4 linked regions of the Caenorhabditis elegans genome follow. The protein of the gene in region 4 purifies or fractionates together with the protein of the main gene of each other region. This does not show direct contact. Each region holds a gene or a part of one and is shown on either strand. Other genes may lie near its edges.

What was found.
Region 1: the proteins of arx-2 (region 4) and arx-5 fractionate together in Caenorhabditis elegans (co-fractionation; one large-scale study listed by BioGRID). This does not show direct contact.
Region 2: the proteins of arx-2 (region 4) and rpac-40 fractionate together in Caenorhabditis elegans (co-fractionation; one large-scale study listed by BioGRID). This does not show direct contact.
Region 3: the proteins of arx-2 (region 4) and hipr-1 fractionate together in Caenorhabditis elegans (co-fractionation; one large-scale study listed by BioGRID). This does not show direct contact.

What each region holds. Positions count from the first base shown.
Region 1 is NC_003281.10:12,816,283-12,819,985, reverse strand, and holds arx-5 (putative actin-related protein 2/3 complex subunit 3), read left to right. Parts: upstream 1-1,885; 5' UTR 1,886-1,889; coding exon 1,890-1,998; intron 1,999-2,054; coding exon 2,055-2,128; intron 2,129-2,173; coding exon 2,174-2,248; intron 2,249-2,766; coding exon 2,767-3,060; 3' UTR 3,061-3,197; downstream 3,198-3,703. Other genes in the region: Y37D8A.25 (PH domain-containing protein), read left to right, coding at 792-973, 1,106-1,262; BE10.4 (DUF148 domain-containing protein), read right to left, coding at 3,276-3,413. UniProt on the Caenorhabditis elegans protein: Functions as a component of the Arp2/3 complex which is involved in regulation of actin polymerization and together with an activating nucleation-promoting factor (NPF) mediates the formation of branched actin networks.
Region 2 is NC_003283.11:4,197,857-4,204,209, reverse strand, and holds rpac-40 (DNA-directed RNA polymerases I and III subunit RPAC1), read right to left. Parts: upstream 4,726-6,353; 5' UTR 4,720-4,725; coding exon 4,636-4,719; intron 3,917-4,635; coding exon 3,237-3,916; intron 2,194-3,236; coding exon 2,090-2,193; intron 2,038-2,089; coding exon 1,921-2,037; intron 767-1,920; coding exon 651-766; 3' UTR 514-650; downstream 1-513. Other genes in the region: algn-5 (dolichyl-phosphate beta-glucosyltransferase), read right to left, coding at 5,118-5,150, 5,797-5,985.
Region 3 is NC_003281.10:8,718,488-8,725,851, reverse strand, and holds hipr-1 (Huntington interacting protein related 1), read right to left. Parts: upstream 5,651-7,364; 5' UTR 5,649-5,650; coding exon 5,377-5,648; intron 5,329-5,376; coding exon 5,072-5,328; intron 5,012-5,071; coding exon 4,488-5,011; intron 4,404-4,487; coding exon 4,292-4,403; intron 4,211-4,291; coding exon 3,849-4,210; intron 3,230-3,848; coding exon 3,133-3,229; intron 3,084-3,132; coding exon 3,000-3,083; intron 2,544-2,999; coding exon 1,754-2,543; intron 1,370-1,753; coding exon 1,108-1,369; intron 1,052-1,107; coding exon of another isoform or gene 1,046-1,051; exon of another isoform or gene 865-1,045; coding exon 841-864; 3' UTR 520-840; downstream 1-519. Other genes in the region: nte-1 (Patatin-like phospholipase domain-containing protein ZK370.4), read left to right, coding at 1-45, 99-259. UniProt on the Caenorhabditis elegans protein: Regulates pre-synaptic vesicle recycling at neuromuscular junctions of mechanosensory neurons. Plays a role in maintaining a normal defecation cycle.
Region 4 is NC_003283.11:10,334,930-10,340,041, forward strand, and holds arx-2 (Actin-related protein 2), read right to left. Parts: upstream 3,427-5,112; 5' UTR 3,422-3,426; coding exon 3,374-3,421; intron 3,322-3,373; coding exon 3,211-3,321; intron 3,168-3,210; coding exon 2,904-3,167; intron 2,858-2,903; coding exon 2,696-2,857; intron 2,599-2,695; coding exon 2,310-2,598; intron 2,261-2,309; coding exon 2,121-2,260; intron 1,021-2,120; coding exon 847-1,020; 3' UTR 534-846; downstream 1-533. Other genes in the region: K07C5.2 (NADP-dependent oxidoreductase domain-containing protein), read left to right, coding at 4,574-4,777, 4,828-4,958, 5,007-5,112.

The sequences.
Region 1 (3,703 bases), on a different chromosome or scaffold from region 4:
GGAACCCAAAATTCCGAAAATGCGCACTGCACAACATATTTGACGCGCAAAATATTTTTTACTGTATCTAGATATTTTGCGCGTCAAATATGTTGCGTGGTACGCATTTTCAGAATTTAGTCGTTCCGTAATAAAAGTGGAATTGCAAAAAAGTTCCAAAAAATAAAAAAATGAAATTTTTTATCATATTTCAGCTTAAAATCCGCCAGGGCCATTATCATTGGAGCGCGCCATGTCGCGTCGATTTACGAGAGATTTTGTTTGCAAATTTCAGTTTTTCAACAAGTTTTCTATATTTTTCGCGTTTTTTTAAGTGAAAATGTGAAATAATTTTATGATTTTTAAAATTTGAAAAAAAAAATTTTTCAACAAAAAAATCAAAGAAACTTGCAAATTTTAGTTTCTTTGATTTTTTTTTTTTGAAATATAATTTATTTCGTGTAAAGTGAACGAAACTTACTGATTTTTCAATTTTTAAAATAATAAAATACCCAAATTTACACGAAAAAACACATTTTAATTTAAAAAAACCGAAGAAAATGAAGAAAACTGGTTTAAAAAACCGAATTTGGCTGCAAAAAAACCCCTCGTAAATCGACATGGCATGGCGCGCTCCAATGAGAATTTTTCTGGCGCGAGTTTGAAAATTGTTTCGCGCTTTCAAGCTGAAATATAAGATTTTTGAAATTTTTTGAATTTTTTTAAAACAAAATATGGGAAATTTGGAGTAATTTGAAAATTTAAAAAATCAAAAAAATGATTTTTTTATTAAAAAAAAAAGTTTTTTTCAGGATTTCCAATGGCGTGCCGGCTGGGGTGTTCTCAAGGCCAATATGCTTTTCGTGTACAATAAAACCGAAGAGGAGACGTCGGCTCCTCCATTTTTACTACTAATTATTGAAGACTGTTTTATCGAATTATGTGATGAGAATAAGATTGGCAAGGATTTCACTTTTGAAATCAAATTCAAATCGTGCGTTTTTTCCGGGTCTCAACACGAAAAATTAATACTAAATTCCAAAAAAAAACTGAATTTTTATCGGTTTTATCGAAAATCGATGAAAAATCGATTGAAAATTCCTAAAATTATCCGATTTTTTTCCAGAACTGCTCGAAGCTTCATCTTCGCCGCCGACTCGTTCAAATCGCTGGGACGTTGGGTTTCGCTGCTCACAATCTCCCCGATCGACTATATACAGCTCTCGAAACAAAGTTTTCATGAGCAAATCGAGCAAACTCAGAAGAAAGCGATGAGGGATTGATTTTTATACATTTTGCACATTTTCACTGTGATATTTTGACTTATTGATTATAAATCATACATTTTTAACGTTTTTTGCTTTGTTTTGCAGCTGGAATTTCCCTGAATTTATCGTTTTTTTCGCAAAAAATCGCGAAATTTCATTAAAAATTTCCAAACGATGCTCCGATATTCCGATGTCGCGCCTTGTTTACCGTAAACTTACACGAGATTATTATTTATTTTTCCGTTCCTGGAGAGAATTTCATCAGAAAAAACGTTTAAAAAGCAGAAAATCTTTGATTTTTTCCAATTTTTCTTAAATATCTGATTATAGGAAACTTGTAAGCTGATATTAATCATATTAATTCCAAGTTTTCATATATTTTAACACGAATTTCCGAATAAAAGTGTATTTTCGGGTTTTACTTTAATTTTCGCGTCCGCAACGACATTATCGCTTCAAAAACTGCATTTTTATCGAATAAAATACTTATATTTTAATTTAAAACTCGAATTTCACAATTTATCGATTTTTTTTCGCAGCCGCAGTGACTCATTATGTACTTACCCCCCCCCCCCCTCGGGTATCCGAAAATAAGCCGTTTTCTATGCATTTTTCCAAACAAAACACTTATTTTTCAGTGAAATGCCGGCATACCACTCAAAATTCGACACTGAACTCAAAGTTTTGCCATTGGGCAACACAAATATGGGAAAACTTCCGATTCGAACCAATTTCAAGGGTCCAGCGCCTCGTAAGTCTTCAAAAATTGATTGAAAAAACCTATATTATATATTAAAATTATTGCAGAAACCAATCAGGATGACATCATCGACGAAGCGCTCACCTACTTCAAGCCGAACATCTTTTTCCGCGAATTTGAGGTTGATTTTCGAGATTTTTCCCTATTAAAATTGAGAAATTTTCAGATCAAAGGTCCCGCGGACCGTACAATGATCTATCTCATCTTCTACATCACCGAGTGCCTCAGAAAATTGCAAAAAGTACGGATTTTGCACGAAAAAAACCTACTTTTTAGATTGAAAAATAAGAAAAAAAGACCCAAACATACCGAATTTCAATGGATATTTTGAACATTCCTACCGAAAACAGATTTTTTTAAGTAGAAAATTTCAAATTCGAAACATTTTCGATTTTCTCTGAAAAAATCCCAAATTCTTTCAATTTTCTCTGAAAAATCCACAAATTTTAAGGTTTTCTCTGAAAAAATCGAATTTTTTTGGTTTTTCCCTGAAAAAAATCTAAAAATTGTTTAATATTCCCTGAAAATTCCAAAATTTTTCTGGTTTTCCCTGAAAAAATCCGAAAATTTTTCGATTTTCACTGAAAAAATCCGAAATTTTTCCGATTTTCTTCGGAGAAATCCAACTTTTTTTTTTCTCAAAATTTTGGAAATTATAAAAAAAAATTCTAGTTACAAAATTCGGTCTTTTCGGGCTATTTTGAGTGAAATAAAGCGTAAAAACATGTTTTTTTTTTGCAAATTTTTTCAAATTTTCAGAGCCCAAACAAGATAGCCGGCCAAAAGGATCTTCACGCCTTGGCTCTCAGTCATTTGCTTCCAATTCCCGGTGAAAATGGATTCCCACTGAACAGCATGTACAAGGCGCCCCAATCGAAACCGGACGAGGACGAAATGCGTGCCTATTTGCAACAAATTCGCCAAGAAATCGGCGCCCGTCTGTGTGATCTCGCGTTCCCGGATCCCCAAGATCGTCCGAGCAAGTGGTGGCTCTGTTTCGCGAGAAGACGATTCATGGACAAGGGGCTCGTTGGACAGGGTGTTAATTTGTGAATTATCGATTAATTATTGTTGTATCTGGCTCAAAATTTTTTCACTTTTCCCATTTTTTTTTCCATGTAATTATATTTATATTGCGTCCAGTTTTACTTTTTGTGCTGCTTTAAAATATTCATTAAAATTCCGATTTCATCATTTTATTACGGTAACGCAACATATTTTGCGCGCGTCAAATATGTTGTGCGCGAAATACGCGAAATCTCTATGCTCTACCGATAATTTGTCTGCTTGGATCCCATCACTGACAACAAAAACGCCACGGTATCGTGTACGACTTCTGGAGCAGTTATCTGGCAACGTGCCAAGTGACTTCGAACCTCTTCGGGAAGTTGGGAGACTGGAAGAGCCTGGAAATTGAGAAAAATTGAAAATTTTAAGATTTTCTCCGAGAAAATTGGAAAATAGTCGAATTTTTTTCAGAAAACCCCAAATATAGGCCTTTTTTATTAGAAAATCGAAAAATTTTCAGGTTTTTTCAAATAAAATCGGGAAAAAAACTATTAATTTCCCGTAATTTTCCAAGATTTCCGTCTTAAAGGCGCACAGATTTGTTCAGATGGGTCTCGGCGCGCAAAAAAGTTTATGGTACTTTTTTTTCTTTTTTCCTGTTAAAAATTGTTTTAAATCAGTTTTTTTG
Region 2 (6,353 bases), 6.1 Mb from region 4:
AAAATATTGAATTTTTGCTAGTTTTCTAAAAACAATCGTTTTTTTTTCAATTTTCTGAAAAAAATTCGAAAACTGCCCCGTTTTTCCAGTATTTCGAAAAAGGATATTTTTTAGAACAAAATTGATTTTTCTTTTTTTCTGCAAAGAAAAGATTTTTCGCTTTTTCGATTTTCCGGAAAACCGAAAATGTTAGTTTTACAATTTTTTATTCAAATTTTGGTTTTTTTTTTTAATTTTTTGAAGAAAATTATATTTTTTCATCAGGATAGACAAAAATTGATGATTTTTAAAGTTTTGTTTCTAATTTTTCTGAAAATCGAAAAGAATTCGTTTTCCAATATTTTGAGAAAATAGCTCAAAATTTTGGAGTTTTTCCATTTTTTAATAATTTTTTTCTGAAAAAACCGAAAAAATGAATGATTTTTCTATGAACCTGTTAAAAAACTACAAAAAAAACAAATAAAAAATGGAAATTTCAACCATTTGGCCAACTAGGAGATATTTGAAGGTAAAAAAGCCACGAAAATTCATTCAAATTAAGAAAAAAGAAAGTGACGGAACAGTGTAACAACTTGAGGGGTAGTCAAACAACAACAAAAAAAAAGGATAACGAATAAAAAAATAGTAACAAAATTTCAAAAAAACGGGGATTATTGAATAAGAGCCTCGATTTGTTTGCGAAGAGAACGACACTTGATTTCCATGACTTTACAGGCTTCAACCACCAATTCAGACGATTTCAGAGCTCCAGTCGACTCTACACTGACTGAAAAAAAAACTAAAATTGCCGGAATTCAAAATTTCCGGCAAATCGGCAAACCGGCAAATTGCCAATTTGCCGAATTTGCCGGTAAAAATTGTGAAAAATTTTTTGTGTGTTTTTTTTTCAGTTTAAAAAAAAAGAAATTTGAAATTTTGGCAATTTTTTTAAATGGTTTTTTGGTTTTTTTTTGTATTTTTGAAGAAATTTTCATTTTTCTCATTGAAATATAATTTATTTTTAAATAAGTTTATAGTTTTTCCCTCTTTTTTCCTACGTTTTTTTCGGTTTTTTTTTTATATTTAAAAAAAATCGACTTTCTCAACCAAAAAAATTAGAAAACTTGGGAAAAATCGAAAAATTTCTGACGACGAAATTTTGTGTTTTTTTTTCGTTAAATTTTTTTTTCTCATCAGTTTCGATAAAATTGATTTATGGGGTTATTCAAGTAGTGTCGGAAAATTAAAAAGTGTAAAAAAATTTTTGCGAAAAAAAAAAAAAATTGCTACATTACTTGAATAACCCCATTAGAAAAAATCATATTTAATGGTTAATTTTAACCGATTTTTACTAATTTTCCACAAAAATTCGGGCCCTTGAAAAGTAGAAAATTTAGGATTTTTGTAATTTTATCGGAAAAAAGTTCGAAAAAATGGGTTTTTTTTGTGAATTTTTCAGAATTTTTCGAATTTTCCCCAGTTTCTGCTCAATTTTAATTTTCTGAACATTTTTTTTAAAAATTTTTTCGTTTTTTTTAAGTTCGAAAACTCAAAAATTTTCTTTTCCCAATTTCCAATTTTTCAACTTTTCGTTTTAAAAATTTTTTCAAAAAAAAAATCGAAAAACGGCACGTCTGTACCATGTTTCTGGCGAAAATTCTTTTTTTTTCGAAAAAAAAAGCGAAAAAAAATATATAAAAACTCCGGCTCCAAAAAAAATTACTTATACATTTTCCAAAAAAACCACTCTCAAAATTAAAAAAAAGAGTTAAAATTTGGCAAAAATATTTAAAATTTTCAAAATAAGGTTTCAAACTTTAACAAAATTGGGGTTTGTTTTTCGACAACTTTTCGTGTATTTTTTTTTGGAAAAAAAACCAAAAAAATGCGAAAAATTCATGAATTTCAGTTTTTTTTTTCGAATTCAGCCCTGCCACTAACAAATGAAATGCTGTTTGTTCTTTCCCAATTGAACAACTTTCGACAGATCTTCGTGGCGGAACACGTTACGACTGCACGTATCCTTGCGAGCATCCTTGACAACAGCAATTCGTTTGGCTGAAATTTTAAAAAAATTGGTGTGTTTCCTAAAAATTGATTTATGATCTACCTCCTTTCTTCTCGATAGCAATAACTCCCTCGCTGAATACTGATTTGAGACGTTCGGCAGCTTCACCCGAAATTTCGGCGTTCAAGCGGATCGTTGGAAGCAGTCTGGAATGAAAAGAAATTTTTTGAAAAATTGGAAGAATTTGAAGGTCAAATTGGCAAACCGGCAAACCGGCAAATTGTGTTTTTGCACATTTTTTTTGGAAATTTCAGATTTTCAATTTCAATCGGCTAAATTGTACGCATCCTATAAATGTTCCTACATGTATTTTGAAAAGTAGGCAAATTCTATGAAAATTTCCGGCAAACCGGCAAATCGTCAATTTGTCAAAAATGAAAATTCCGGCAAATCGGTAAACCGGCAAATTGCAGAAAATGAAAATTCCGGCAAATCGGTAAACCGGCAATTAACCGAAATCGAAGTTTCCGGCAAATCGTCAAACTGGCAAATTGCCGAAAAAGAAAATTTCCGGCAAATCGACAAATCGGCAAATTGCTGAAAATGAAAATTTCCAGCAAATCGCCGAAAATGAAAATTTCCGGCAAATCGACAAATCGGCAAATTGCTGAAAATGAAAATTTCCAGCAAATCGCCGAAAATGAAAATTTCCGGCAAATCGACAAATCGGCAAATTGCTGAAAATGAAAATTTCCAGCAAATCGCCGAAAATGAAAATTTCCGGCAAATCGCCGAAAATGAAAATTGCCGAAAATAAAAAAAAATTGGCAATTTGTCAAATTTGTCGACAAAAAAATTCACCTCTGGCTTGAAATTTTCGAACTTTTTTTTCCACAAAATTACAGAAAACAGTCTAAATATACTGAATATAGGTAGATGTACAAAAATTATTTAACTTCCCCAAAATATCTCGTAGCGAAAACTACAGTAACTCTTTAAAAGCTACAGTAGTCATTTAAAGAATTACTGTAGTTTTCGCTACGAGATATTTTGCGCGTCAAAAATTTTGTGTAATACGCATTCTCAGAATTTGGGGTCCCGTAAAACCGAAAATATATTATATGAATTATAATTTTTTTCCCCCCAATTTTTCACTTTTTCCGAGAAAATCGAAAAACGAAAAATTTTCAATTTTCCGGAAAACCGCAAAAATCAAAAGAAAATATTTCAGCAGCTTCAAAATTCACACCTATAGGACGCAGTAGCAACCGGTGAGAACTTTGCATGATCCCGTCCGATTCCCTTGACCGCATGGCAACTGGCTTCAATTTCCTGTCCAGGACGAAGCTTGGCAACGAGAATATCATCAGAAACCATACGTGGATGGGCTTCTTCGGTGAATTGCGTCTTCTGATCAGCAATCGGTACCCATTCAAAAGCACGTGAGTAGACCGAGCTATTGTGATAAAGCTGCTTCGGATCGGTAGCCGTCGGCACCGCATTTCGATTCTTCGTACACGAAACATTAATCTTGAAGATCAAATTTTTCGCGGGATCTCCCTCGGGCTCCTCGTCACAATCCACTCCCTTCTCATTGATTCCAACGACTTTTTCCTTTGGAAACTGAAATCCACGTGGATCCACACGAAGCGGCAGAAGACCCAAACGATGGCAGAGTACTTCATCTTGAATTACAGAAGTATTCTGATAGAGATAAATCTTCTCGAGAGCCATCGTTGGCACTTCGGCGATGAGCACACGGCGAAGAGCATTTGCAATTGGAGCTTCAATGCGAGTAATATCAAATTCCAATGTCATTCCATCGTCGGATTCATTGACCATTGCCACTTGGATTTGATCGCAATACTCGTTGATATCGAATTGTTTTGTATCGTCGTATTCGACATAATCGGTGCATTCGTCGTAGGTCTGGAATTGAAGAAGAATTTTTGGAAAATTTAAAAAAATAAAAATTTCGGCCGAAAAGCAAAAAATCGAATTTCTTCAAAAAAAAAAAACAAAAAAAAATATTGACCAGAAATGTCGGTTTTTTGGTTTTTTTTTCCTTTTTTTTTTGAGACGAAAAAATTGGCAAAAAAATTTTCCCGTGGTGGAGAGTTGAACTCAAACTGCTGCGAGTGAATATAAGCATTGACTCCATCTTCGATTTGCTGTTCAAGCGTGGGCGTTTTTAGCTTCTTGCTCTTCGGTCCGGAGGACATCGCGACAACGACGTTACGCGTGGTGAAAAATACACGCAATCCGCTTTTTTTTTGTTCATTTTTTCTTTGGTTTGTGTTTTTTTTTTCCAAAAAGTTGAAAAAATCGAAAGTTAATTTTTTCTTGGTTTATCTCACAATTTTAAATTTTTTCAATTTTTTTTGAAAAAAAGTAATCTTTCACTAATTTCCGGCAGTTGATAAATCGCCGCCTTTTTTCGTAAATTTGTATAACAATTTTTTTCGGAAAAATAACGATTTTCAATAAAAAATTGGAATTTTTTAAAATTTTTCTGGACGAAATTTTAAAAAAATACGGAAAATGCTTTTGCCGCCTGATTTCCTAACGAGACCCAACGTTTGGGGGCGGAGCGCTCTCGTTTCCCAATGGAGCGCGATTGCATCCTTGAAATATTCAAAAAATCCTACATTGAGCACAACTTCCTCTTTCATCTCGATCTCATCACTGTGATAGGTAGCCTGCTTGCTAGTTGCCGCCGCTTTTTTGACCATTTTTGCCTGGAAATTTTTTGATTTTTTTCGCCTGAAAACTCTATGGAAAGATATAAAATCGCTGGGAAAACGAAAAAAAAAACAAAAAAATGGAAAAAAACATTTAAATCGATATTTTTTTGAATTTAGCATTAAAAATAAACCCAGAGTCCCCAGAACAAGAGAGAAAAAAAAGAAAAACCAACAAGTAAATAAATAAATAATAAAAATGCGAAAAGAAAAAAGAATAGAATCACATTTTCAAGGAATCATGGATATTTACAACCAGCCATAAATTGGAAAAAAAATCAGGAAAAAGCAGGGAAAAAAAGTGATTAAAGCATAGATATTACTAGAAGAAAAAGGAAATTTTTGGGCAAGATTTTTTGAAAATCTCGTATCGATTTTTTGTGGAGCATTTAGCGAGGCTGGTCATCCGTCCAAATTCCGATCTGAAAATAAAATTTTAATGTCAAAAATATTGTCAGGTCGCTCTACCGCACACGAAAATGGCGGGAAAATATTTTTTGAAAATTTGTGACGTCACACAGCGCATTTTGAATAATTGCTTTTGTTCAATTTAAGCGCCGATTTTCGTGAAATTTTTTTAAAAACTGGCTCATTTTAATTTATAAAATTTGATATTTTACAAAAATTCTAAAATTTAGTGGAGAAATTGAAGCAAAATACAATAAAAATGAATAATTTCAATTTAAACAAAAATTTATTTGGAAAATCATTTTTAAAAAATTCACGGAAACTTGGTAAATGAACGGTTTAAATGGTTTTTCGAAAAAAAAAATTCGTTTCAATTGAAATTATTCATTTTTATTGTGTATTTTGCTTCAATTTTTCCACTAAATTTTAAGAATTTTGGTAAAATATCAAATTTTATAAATTAAAATGAGAAAGATATTATTTATTTATTTTTTTTTTAAGTTTGACAAAAATCGGCGCTTAAAATTAAGAAAATTATTCAAGATACGCTGTGACGTCACAAATTAAAAAAAAAATATTTTCCCGCCATTTTCGTGTGCAGTAGAGCGATGGGACATCCTGACACCACTTCAAAAAAGGCCTAAAAAACTGCAATTTTACCGTATATCTGAACCAAATGAGCACAAGATCTCGGCCCATTTGAAGCCAAGACCAAATTGGAGTAATCTTAGACCCTTCGATTTCAGTCCATCGAACTGAAACTTCTTTCACAGGGACCGTCCATCTTTCGCAAAGGAAGATGAGCTCAACGTCAAAAGCCCAGCGCTCAATGTGAAGTACTGGGAAAATCTGAAAAAAAAACGTTTTTTTTTTTTGGTTTTTTTTACTTTAATTTGACGAATTTTAGCTAAAATCTTAAATCAGGAATTGAAAATTTTCGGCAAATCGGCAATTTGCCGGAATTGAAAATTTCAGGAAAATCAGCAATTTGCCGGAATTGAAATATCCGGTAAATTGACAAATTGCCGTTATTGAAAATTTCCGGCAAATCGACAAATCGGCAAATTTCCGGAATTGAAAATTTCCGGCAAATCGGCAAACTTCCGGAATTGAAAATTTCCGGCAAATCAGCAAATTGCCGGAATTGAAAATTTCTGGCAAATCGGCAAATTGCCGGAATTGAAAATTTCCGGCAAATCGGCAAACTTCCGGAATTG
Region 3 (7,364 bases), on a different chromosome or scaffold from region 4:
GAAGAGCCGGCGATCATTTCCTATTAGATGATGATTTGTTTAATGGTGAGTGATATAAAAGTTTTGAAGGTTTAGATGATAATAACGAGCCATTTTAGATACCGATTATTACGAGGAGGAATCATCGCAGTCTGAAAATGGAAACGAGTCGTTCACAGAAGATGAAGATCTTGTCATCGGTCCACCGAGCAGCTCATCGTCTGGTGGAAATGTTAGTGAAAATCCACGTGGCACAACTCCACGACCTCCTTCTTCCTGAATCAGGAATCTCTTTTTTGTAGAAGTTAAGCAGTGGAGCACAAAAGGATGTTCCATACGTTTTTTGAAGATCTCGTTTTTATAGGTCCCATAGAAGTAGCTTATTTTTGTAAATCGATCCCTTTTGTGTCAAATATACATATTTCCTCCCTTACTTCTCTCTCCCACCGTCCCATCGCCTGAATTTCATTACGGGGTTCGAATGCTCTTCTTCTCAAATGTATAGAAAGTTGTGAATTGTGTTCCGGATAAATAAATATTTTTGGAAATCAATTTCATATTCAGAAGTTGTTTCTTACAATTTAAGGGGGATGCTTTTAGAATAAGAGATTTACAAACATTTACAAATTATAAAACATTTCTCTATAGACTGTTGGATGGGCACCGAAATCACAGGACACTGGGAGTGACTAGTTTCTCAAAGTGGGACGATAAAATTGGTATAAACAAATTAAGCAGTGGAGCAATTTGAGATTTTAGTGAAAAAAGAGGGTAAGGCATTGATGTATATAAATATGGTATAAAAAAAAAGCAATTTGAGTAAGATTGTACAATTTTGGAAATACTCGGATAGATTGTTGGTTATTCCTGAGCTTCTTCTCCTTCCTGAAATTTAAATTGATTTAAACGAGTTGTAATAATTTTCAAATAAGGTGTAGCTTGTTTTTGTATTCTTGGTAAATGTGCACGGGATACAAACATAGGGAGTGATGTTAAAAGAGAGCTTTTGGGGGGAGTGCTCAAACCTTTAAATTCCTTGATTCCTAATTCGATAGTCAGTTTTCTATTAGCTCTGTTAATGTTTTCAGGTTTTAAGGAAATACATGTTCCTATTTTTTAAAAACTAACCTTGTTCGCAACCAACTGAGCCATGTGATAATGCTGCTTGCGGAGAGCCGCCAACTTTGCTCTTTCTTGATTCAAACTTTGCTCCAATTCCAGCATTTTCACTTGTGATTCCATTTCTTCTTTCTTCGCAGCGTGCAACGAAAGATATGAGAAATCAAGTGAACCTTCATCGTTGAGAGTTGTTTGACCGTTTTTGACAGCAGCAACCACCTGGGCAGTATTTTGATTAACGGCTTTTGCAGCAACCGAGAGAGCGTCCAATCTGAAAATATTGTCGAATTTAGAAACAAATTCGGTTAAGTTTTAGAAACTACTGAAATAAAATCAGTTCTTTTTCCTTGAAAATTTTCGTTCAGAAAAATGAAAAAAATACTTGTTTTAAAAGTTTTCTGATTTTCAAAAAATTATTGTTCTTCCAATATTTCGAAACATAGCTTTAATTTTTGACGATTTTTCTTATTGATATGTCGTTGTTTGTGTTTTGGAAAAACCAATGAAATCTGAGCCACAACAAGAAGTTGACAACTACAGTACTCCTTAAATGCATACTATCTTTTGAATTACAAGAAAAACGGTCACTTCGAGATTTTAAATTTTCGAGAAAACCTCAAATTTTGGCATCGGATAATATTTCCAAAAAACTCACTTTGACGAATCCTTGTCAGCTTTTACTCTGCTGGAAACAAATAATTGTGCAGTTGAAGCTGCAATCTCTTGAGCAGCAACAATCAAATGCTCGAATTTTCCTTTTCCAGTCACAACACCATCAGCTGACTCGACCAACACTCTAGCAGCCACACCAACAGCTTTTGCAGCTGACAAGAGTCCTTCTGTCCATTGATGATTTCTTTTGTAGAATTCTGCAGGCGATCCTCCTGCTTTTCCAGCTGCGACAATTTCAGTTTGAAGTTCTCTTGATGCAATTACTAATTGCATGATTACTGACATCAAAGCTTGACAATTTGCAAGAATCGATTCATTCACTTCAAGACGAATTCCATCTGAACTCTCACGAGCTCTTCTTTGAATTGCTTCAATTTCTTGAACAGCTCTTCGAATAGCATCATCCATTCGTCTCATTTCTTGTTCCAATTCATTTCCAACAACATCTTTATCAATATCTGTTTGAAGAGGAAGTGATATCATCAATGAATTCAATGTTTGTATATCTTGTCTAAGTAATTTCATTTTATCAGCTCTTGAAAGAGCACTGTCATCAGAAAATGCAACTTTTGCAGCAGCCAGAACCTTCTTGCACTGATCATTTACACCTTCATAACTCTCGATACTTGCAGTGTAAGCAGCTGAAGCTGCAGCAGAGAGAGTTGTAGATAAAAGATGTCCAGCGAAAACATTATCCTTTGTAGCGAGTGGTTCATCAAGACGTTCATTCGAGAGAATATTGACGAGATTATTCATTGCTGACTGGGCGAGATCTGAAAATTTCAGTAATTGAAGTGGTTTTCTTGAAACAATTTTCAATTTTTCCAAATTGTTGGTTTTAGTGTTTTTGGGGAGAAAAGTATTTTTGGAAAATACAATCAATGTTTTAATTTTACTTTTTTTAATGAAAAAATACTCGAAATTTTAATACGAGTGCATTTTTGATCATATTCTTCAAGTTTTTAAAAATAACGTTTCAACATGTTTCGTTTTAAAAATAAATGTTGATTCTTCGAAAATCATGTTTAAATTTTGGCCATTTTTACTCACTTTAGAAAATGAAATTTTATAAGGTTTTTTCGATTCAAAATAAACAAAATTTGATAGAATTTATTTTTTGTTAATTTTCTAAACTTTTTTAAATGTTTCGGTTTTCCGGTAGAAAACTTTTTTCGGTCACGATTTTGAAAATAACACTTTTTTCTGACTCAGCCCTGATGATGACTTACGTGGAGGATAAGTGATAGACGTAGCATTCTGTAGAGCATCTTCACAATGATCAAACATTTGTGTAATTCCAACACCAGATTCCTCTGAAAATTAAAGTATTTAAAAAAAATACATTTATCCAAAATTTCTTACTGGCTACTTCTAACTCAGCGAGCCGGATCTTATTAGTTTCTTCAGCAGATGATTGAACTAATTGATTGGCGTGTGATTCTCGAAGATGATCGATTGTCTGTAAGAAATAAATTGTTTTTTTTAATATCTATACAGTGATAATGTTTTTACATGATTCATTTTTGACATTTAAATCGCGAGGAGCGAATTGCATTTTCTCTTCATAAAATATGCTTTATACTTCCAAGTTTCGGTTTTTCGACTTTCGTTTTCCGATTTTTCGAAAAATAGTTTAAAATTTTAGCCATTTTTCGTCTTCATAGAAACTTACTTAGTTTCCTCGTGTTAAACAAAATTAGTTTTAAATGTAATTTTTTCGATATATCGATTTTCCAGAAAATCGGAAATTTTTGTTTTTTTTTTCAGATTTTCTAATTTTTCAACAAAAAAACAGCATTCAATTTTTTAAACCATTTTTGTTTTTTTTTAAGAAAAAAATATATATTTTCTTATGTTTTTCTCATCAAAATAAACGAAATTCGAATGAAAAAAAAAATGTTTTCTTCGATTTTTTGATTTTCGGGAATGTTTATTTTTTCGATGACACCCTTTCTCTCAAAGTGAGAATTTCAATTTTAAAAATTTGTGAATTTATTATGATAAATTTAATTATAAAAAAAGTCTAGGAGTTTCCGAATTTTGAATGTATATAAAACTTTAAAAAATTCAAATCTTACCCTTTTCAGCTCCTCAACTTCAATATCAGCCTTAACCAATTGAGTTCTCATCTCATCAACTGCTCCAGCATCACCCTCCGCCTTTGTCAAAGCTCTTCCAGCTTCTCGTTGAGCTTCTTCTACTTTTCGATTCAAAGCAGTAATCTCTTCGTCCTTATCGAATTTCGATTTTTCACTAGCTTCTAGTTGTTTTTGAATATCTCCTAATTTTGTGAGCGCTAAAACGTGTTCACTTCGGAACTTTTCGTAAACTCCTTTCATTTTATTAAATCTTTCCTCAGCTGCCGTTGCTTTCAATTCTGCTTCTTTTACACGTGCATCGTCTGTCTGAGTTCTTGATGCATCACGAAGTGCAAGCTCGTCTGAAAATATATCTAATTAATAATAATCTGACTTCCAACTAATTTTGAGAAAAATATCATTCTCCAAAAAAAAAAACGAACTCTTCAGTCTCTGTGCCTCCTCTCGATTCTCATCAGCTTCTCGTTTTGCGTGATCAAATTCTCCTTGCATTTGCAATAAACGGTTCTCATATTGTTCGATGCGGCTGCGCGCCTGGAAAATAGTAAAAAATGTTGTATTTTGTTTATTTTTATGATAGTTTTAAAAAAAAACTATATTTTAATAATCAACTCTTACTTCTTGAATGAGTCGTTCCTTCGCAAATTTTTCATCTTCAACAGCACGACTCAACATAACAATTTGTTCTTCTCTAGGATCTGGCTGACTCGATGGACTCGCTTGTTGTGGCTCTGCTTCAGCTAAATTCAATAATTCCCCGTCATGTCCGTTGAGAGAAGTTCCATCTTCTGAACCTTCCGAATGAAGATATGCATGAGGTGTTCGATAAGATTCAAGATCGGATTGTTGAAGGAAGTTCGGTGCATGAGATGGCAATGTTGGAATTGAAACAAGATATTTGAAATACTGAAGATTCGATGATTCTTCGTAAAACTTCTTAGTTCTCTCGAAAATTGTTCGGAATCTGGAACGATGACCTTCTAATGCATCTGGAGGAACTTGACTATGAAGTTTGAAGATCATTTTAACGAGATAATCGTAGAATTTACTGGTATCCAGAATTGCAATAATCAGTGGAGAAAGCATACATTGTCCTTGTGGAATTAGAGAATTCCAGCGTAGGGAATTCATCATTTCATACACTGAAAAATAGAAAATTAATAATTCAATAATTTTCCAGACTTGAAAAAATCATTACAAACCTCTATCCTGCAATACAAGAAGTGCATCCATCTGATCCAACATATCAATTGTCATCTCAAACATATTGTCTAAATCTCCTTCTAATGTTTTCAGTTGTGAATCATTCAAATCCAACTTCCCCGGAACAACTGGATATTTGTTGTGAAAAGTGACTCGATCGTGAAGTAATTTACAGTATGACTCAATGCATGGACCATATCCACTTGTATTCAAATGTTTCCAGAATTGAGAAAGTTGAGTGAATCGATTAACATATCTGAAAAATATTGAATTTAAGATTATCACTCCTTCAAAGAAACCCCACCTGTAAGTCTCTTCAGGAACCTTTCGATGTCCATCTCGAAGCAATTTGTGCACCAAATGACAGAACTTCCAAGTGAGTACAGGATGTTTCTCCAACTGAATCCGTCCTACAGTATGCCAGAAGATTCCAGATGATTTCTCCTTGTGTGTTCCTACTATTATGGTTCTCGCATGTTTTGGTTTCAATGGAACCTCATTTTTCGTGATCGCTTTCTGAACAGCCTCCAGTTGAGCTCGAACGAATACCTCGCGCGCTTGAGCACGATGATCCATTCCTGAAAAAAATTAATTTTTTTGGGGGCATGTGATAGAAAAAGTGTGAGGAGGAGATATGACTTGGCACATAATTTGCATTTTTGTTAAAAATTCCAATTTCAAAGAATATTCAAAACCCTGAAATCAAAACCATGACAAATCAATCTATTAGTTGCAAAATTGAGGAATATAGATGAAAAGTAAGTCAACTATTAGGCGAAAAGCTTTCCTCCCGCATATTTCATCACAGTGTGTGTGTGGCAACAAGCCGGTTCCGCGCGCGTTGTGGACAAAGTGAGTCACAAACAAAAACAGAGAGAGAGAGAGAGGGAAAAAGAGAGGAAATGATGTTATTTAGAAGAGAGGAAAATGAATCGGGTATCGCATATAGGTACTCAAGATTCTTATGATTTGTTCCATATTCGAACTAAACAGCAAAAATGGCTTGAGTTGAGAAGGCGAAGTGATCAGGTTAAGACTTTTTTGGTATTTTGAGTCACATTTTTTGAGAAAAAAAAGGTTTTTTGGGACCTAAATGAAGCCAAAAAAGTCACTTACAGTCCTTCAAAAATCGCAAATCGACGATTTTTTTTTTGGTATTTCACTTTAAATTCTTTTTGATTTTTGGTCCAGTCCTGGTAGTGACGACATATTCAAGAAACACTAAAACTTCAGCAATGTAACCGATTCGAAATAGTTCATAAACCATGAAACTTGCAAAAGCTTTACAGCTGTTTAATCGAAAACTTGTTCAGACAATTGAAAAGCAAAAAGTGTTTAATGAGAAGTTTCCACTTTGCAAAAGAAAACTACGTGAAAAAGATAGTCTAACATTGATTTTTATGTGCATAAGACCTCAAATGTGTCTTCTTCTTCTTTCAGAAACTTGTGCAAACTATACCACCGGGGGCAAACACTACAAAATGGTGACTCTTTCTCGCTATGCTACGGAAGTTTTTGTATTCTTACAACACAATTTCCGTAAGGGTTTTCGTGTTCACTGAACGGTGTTTGAGAAATAAATGGAAATGGGCAGAGAGGAGAAAAGCGAAAAAGACATGAAAGAAAATGGGAAAAGGTTTCGAATTTCGATGAGAAGTGAGCGAGTGTATTCCCCTTGCGTCGATTTGCAATTTGCATACTTGGAAGTTAGTCTCATAAAGAAAAGGTATTAAACGATGGTGGCCGGGAAATCGGGAAGTTATTCAATTCTCGACTGAATTAAAAATCGTTTAAAAACGAGAATCAAAACTTTTTAAAGAACAATGACTGCTGAATTTTAATGAAAAAAAATGTTGCTCTTCGAAATTAAGCTTCAAAAAATAATAGTTCTTGAGCTTCTTAGACAAAATATGACATCAATGGCTGGTCAACATTAAAATTTTGAAAACGAAGTAACTGATAAGCTCATGAAATTGTCCTTTTTCTCATCGAGACACAATGAAATGCATTCATGCCAGCAGAAATGCAAACATAAATGAAACGGAGGAATGTCGGATGCTTGAAAACCAAAAGAGTATTGCATAATGAATAGAGATGAATTAAAATGTGAAAAGAAAATGTTTAAATTTTTCGAAAATATTAATCTGTATTAAATTCTGGAAAAATATGTGAAAATCGCTGGAAACGATTGGTAATCAAATTAATCCAGAAAATAAAAATGAGATTTATTGTAACGAACAAAAACAACAAAAATTACTAGAAAAAAACGTCTATCCTAGGAGGATATTCCTA
Region 4 (5,112 bases):
GTTCGTATCTTCAAAAATAATAATTTTCATTTTTTCACAACTGATCGAGAATCGAAATCCAAAAAACATAGGTTCACCGACGGTTCAATAAACAAAAAAGTTTAAACTATTCTGAGAGTAAAGCAGCTATAAAAAGTTCCAATTTGGCTTCAACACAGACGAGACCTCCCCGTTTGATAGGTTGGTCAGGCGATGAAAGGACACTAAAACGACACCATTTTAGAAGTGCCGGTCGCTTCTGACGATTTCATCGACCACTGATTTATGTGGACCTTTTGGAAAGAAAGAGAAACCAATTAAAATAAATGAATTGAAAAGATTTAAATGTGATTATATGAATCAGTTAATAAATGAGTTGGAAAGAAAAAATCCGAATGTCGCAAATAAAGGAGTATTTCGGATGAAAGTAGTTGAAATAGAGGAGGACACGGGCCTGAAGATAACAATTATCCGTTATCAGGTGGTAGAGTATCCGTGTATCAAATGCGGGTCATCAATGTCGTCGTTTGTCTCTTTTTCTAATGCCCTTTTGCTGGATGATTTCGGTTTCATTTAATGGAAAAATGGAAGAAGGAATAAGAGGTGACGCAATTCAATTTCAAACCAAAAGTAAGTTGAAGAAGTGAATGAATTCAAAGTGGAAAATGTATTTACAACAGAGAATGATGGATTCAGGTGGTTGTTGGTTTGAAAGATAAACGTTTGAATGAGAGTGGGGGAGAATAGGATGCCTATAAAGAATAAATTAGTTAACAGGTAGGGGATTTTAAGAGAATTCAGAGAAACGGGGATAAATGAACATAAAGCACTTTTAAACATGTTAACACGAAAATAAAGTCACAATATTTAAGCTTTGATTCCAAGTTTGGCCATACATCTTGCAATACCACCCTCTTCATATTCTTTCTTTGAAACCCAAAAATCTTGATCACGATCCTTCATCAGATTTGCAAGAACAGCTCCTCCAAGGAAAACCATGTGCTTACGGCTTGGTGGGGCTTCTATACGGATTTTGAATTTCTGAAAATAAATAAATTGGAACATTGCTGGTAATTTTTTCAAGGTCGTAGCCACGCCCACTAAAGAAGGATGTAAGTAAACACTGGGGTGATGGGGCGGAAAACTAAGATGTTGAGTGAGTGTTCTTTTAGGAGACCTCACACGAAGAAATCAAATGCATTTAGTTAACACATCATCAAATCGTCATTGACGACCAAAAGCGCCATTCTTAAAAGGAATGGTCAAATAACCAAAAGTAAAACTACTACAGGAACACAAATATCTGGGAATGCGTAGAGTGCAACATATTTGACGCGCAAAATATTTCATAGCGAAAACTACAGTAATCCTTTAACATTGTCTAGTTTAATGAGCTTGATTTTTAAAATGAATTTCTTTTTGATCTGTTTTCTTAACTTTAATAATGTTCTATCAATAAATAAATGATTCAACTCAGCTAATCGAGCTCTTGAATCTACACAAGAACTATAGTAGTCATACAAAGGATTACTGTAGTGTTCGCTACGAGATATTTTGCGCGTAAAATATATTTCGCGATACGCATTTTCAGAAATTTGTGCTTTCGTAATACTTCCCATTCAAAAATTGGCATTACATAAAAATTGTTTTTTTTTTTTCAAAAAAACTTTTTACTTTTTGATTGATAATTATTTGTGGAAAAAATTTCAATTCTACTACCAACTGTTTTGAAACTAATCTTTAATCGATTTTTTTTGATTAAAAAAAAGACAGCCATAGTGGGCGAAAATAAAAAATTTTCAGAAATTTTCGAGTTATAAAAATTTTCGAAAATTTAGAAATTCGGCGACAAAAAATTTCGGCAATTACCGGGTTCAAAACTATTAGAAAAAATAACTATAAAAATTAACAAAAAAAATCAATTTCTACTGTAGTAAATGTGTTTTTGATGAAGAAATATAACTCAAAACGACCTGAATATTTTCAATTTTCTATTCGGTAATTGGAATTTATTTTTGATAATTCGAAACTTTGACAACTGCTGAATTTTGAAAAACTCAGCGATCGGCATTTTGACAATTGCCTAGTCTCAACATTATTCCGGCAATATCCTTGTGGCCGAATTTTCGGAAATTCGTTACCTGGAACGCGTCAGTATTTCCATGCAATACGCGATCCAAATACAGCTGTTTCAGTTCCTTCTCAAGACGGCTGGGCAATCCTGGATACATAGTGGTTCCACCGGAAAGTACGATATGCTTGTAGAAATCAAGGCGAGTATCTATAAAAGGGATTTATAATGGAAATGCACAATTTCATTTTTGAAATACCTATATCACTGGCTTGAATACATCCGAAAAGAAGTTCCGAGAGACCAGCTTTTTCAACATTAATCAGATGTGGTTGGAATAGAATTTCTGGAGCTTCGAATCGTTCACCTCCGAGACGAATCACACGACCATCAGGAAGAGTGTATTGTTGAGAAAGAACTGTAGTCTCTAGTGCCAAACGTTCTTCTTGCTCAACATCATATGCAATGTAACAAAGCTTTTCCTTCATTTGGCGAACAGTTTCAAAGTCAGCAGAGTGATTGAAGTTGTATCCACGTTGCAGAAGAAGCTGAAAACAAATATATGTTAGTTTCTAATAAACCATATTTTGTCACTATAGCAATCAGGAAAATAATTGAATTAATATGTAACATTTAAAAACTTACCTTGATAAGATACTTGGTAATATCTCTTCCTGCAATATCCAATCGTCTTGTCAAATGATGAAGAGCAAATCCTTCGTAAACAGGACAGATGTGGGTAACACCATCTCCGGAGTCAACTACAACTCCTGTCAAAAGACCTTGAGCATAAAGAGTGAGCACAGCCTGAAAATATAATCATTATGATTTTATCATGAGGATTAACTATTACCTGAACCGCCACATAGATAGAATTGAATCCATACTGCTCAAACATAACTTGAAACATTTTCTCACGATTGCTGTTCGGATTGAGTGGTGGTTCTGTCAGCAGCAGTTTACACTCTTTCGGGTCGATATCCAACTTTTCCGGTCCAAAAGTATGATCCCATACATGCGCCATATCATCCCAGTTTCTAACAATTCCGTTGTCCATGGGATAATTGATATCAAGCATTTGACGAAGCTGAGAGCACTCCTCGCCAACCATCAAATCCTGTGAGAAAACAGTTATAAGACCTTTCTGTGTAAAGTTTTACCTTAATTTCAATATTTCCAACTCTTTGTGTCGATCTCACGATTGGCCGACCGACCATTGAAGGGAATATATGAGCTGGGAAATTGGTTCCTGCATACCCGCATTTGACGAACTGCAAATACAGAATTTTTGAAAATAAAATGGGATAAAATTTTGCAACTTACACCTGTTCCGTTGTCAACGACAATCACCTTTCGCCCTTGCGAATCCATTTCGCCTGAAAATTGTTAAATCGATTGTGCGGGTTTCGAATGAGTCATAAAGAGAAGAAAAGTAAATAAATAGCAAATTTGCTTGCCAATCGATGAAACCGGTAAAAATTTCGTTTTGACACTGTCTTAGTTGGCTTAAAATAGAACAAAGTACGAACATTTAAGCAATATTTTACATTACTTAGATTTTAATTTAATGAACGAGGGTTTCTGGAAAGTAAATCTGACTATATTTAGTGGAGATCGCCGTCAAAATACGCGGAAGTCGATGGAAAAATGTTTCTACAATTTCGCGAGAATTTTTATGTTCTTCATAGAATACGAAAACAATTATAAGATTAAAATATACAGAAAAGAAATAAGGAAATTCTATTGAAATAAAAACATGACAGTTCTGTCTATAGTGGAGACGCAGGGAATTGGTTGTCGATGGAGCAGATTTGCAGCAAGAGTATCGTAGTGTAAAAACAGATTTAAAAAATCTAAATCATGAACCTTTGTTTTTTTTATTATTTTATTAGTTTTATTTATAACATTTATTTTTATTTACATGTTTACCATATTTATGATTTTTTTTACTTGTGTGATTAGTTTTTGGTAGAAATTTCTGAATATTTATGTAAAAAAACATTTTCAACATCTGTAATAAATAAGTTGCGATATGGATTGTACCGAATTATTTCCACATGAAACATGGCTTTTTATAATAAAGGCTCTTCCTCACATCCAAAATTTTAATTTCTCAGTTAATTTTAAGAAAAATGGGAAGAGACAACATAACAACTAGGATAGGTCATGTGTATATGGTAGTGTTCCTATCGTGATTGGAAATGATCACAATATAACGTCATTCTTCTGTTAATTCAATTTTTCTCTGTTTAGTAAACTTATTGAACTCTAAATACAAACTTCGCAAAGAGAGTGTTTCAATGATCGAACGCTTCGTTCAAAGTCTATGAATTACCATTGAATAGTGTAAATTACAACAAACATCACATCTTAACTTTCAAAAATTGTTCAATGAAACTTCCATTGTTTGTTGAACTGTCCCCCTCCTCCTCTACCTATCTCTTATTTATATTTAATGTCCTCTATTCTTCATTTCTTGCCATTTTTATATTCTTTTATCTCATTTAAATGTATTTTCAGACTATGAGTGTTTTCACAAATGTTGTTGGTGGTGCATTCAAGTTTTCCGATGGATACGAAATGCCAAAAATTGGTCTTGGAATCTCTCGAATTGAAACTCAACAAGATTTAGATGTCTCTATTGAAGCCGCTCTGAAATCTGGATATCGTCAATTTGACACAGCCAATCTCTACAAAAACGAAACGTTTCTTGGTAATTCCCTGAAGGTAAATTTAAACTGATTTCTGAAAAACTATTCAAACCTCTAAAATTTTAGAAATATCTACCACAATTTGGCTTGACACGTGAAGATGTGTTCATCACTACTAAAGTTCGTACTCTCAATGAAAATACTGTGGAGGAAACTGAGAAACAACTAGCCAATTCCCTTGCAACTTTGCAAACCGAGTAGGAAAATATTTGTTGAGTTATCATCAGAATTATTTCTATTTTCAGTTATGTAGATCTTCTTTTAATTCACTATCCACGTGACCGTGATACTGGAAACGATGATGACTACGAAATTAACAAAAGTAGAAGGAAAATTGTTTGGCAGACACTT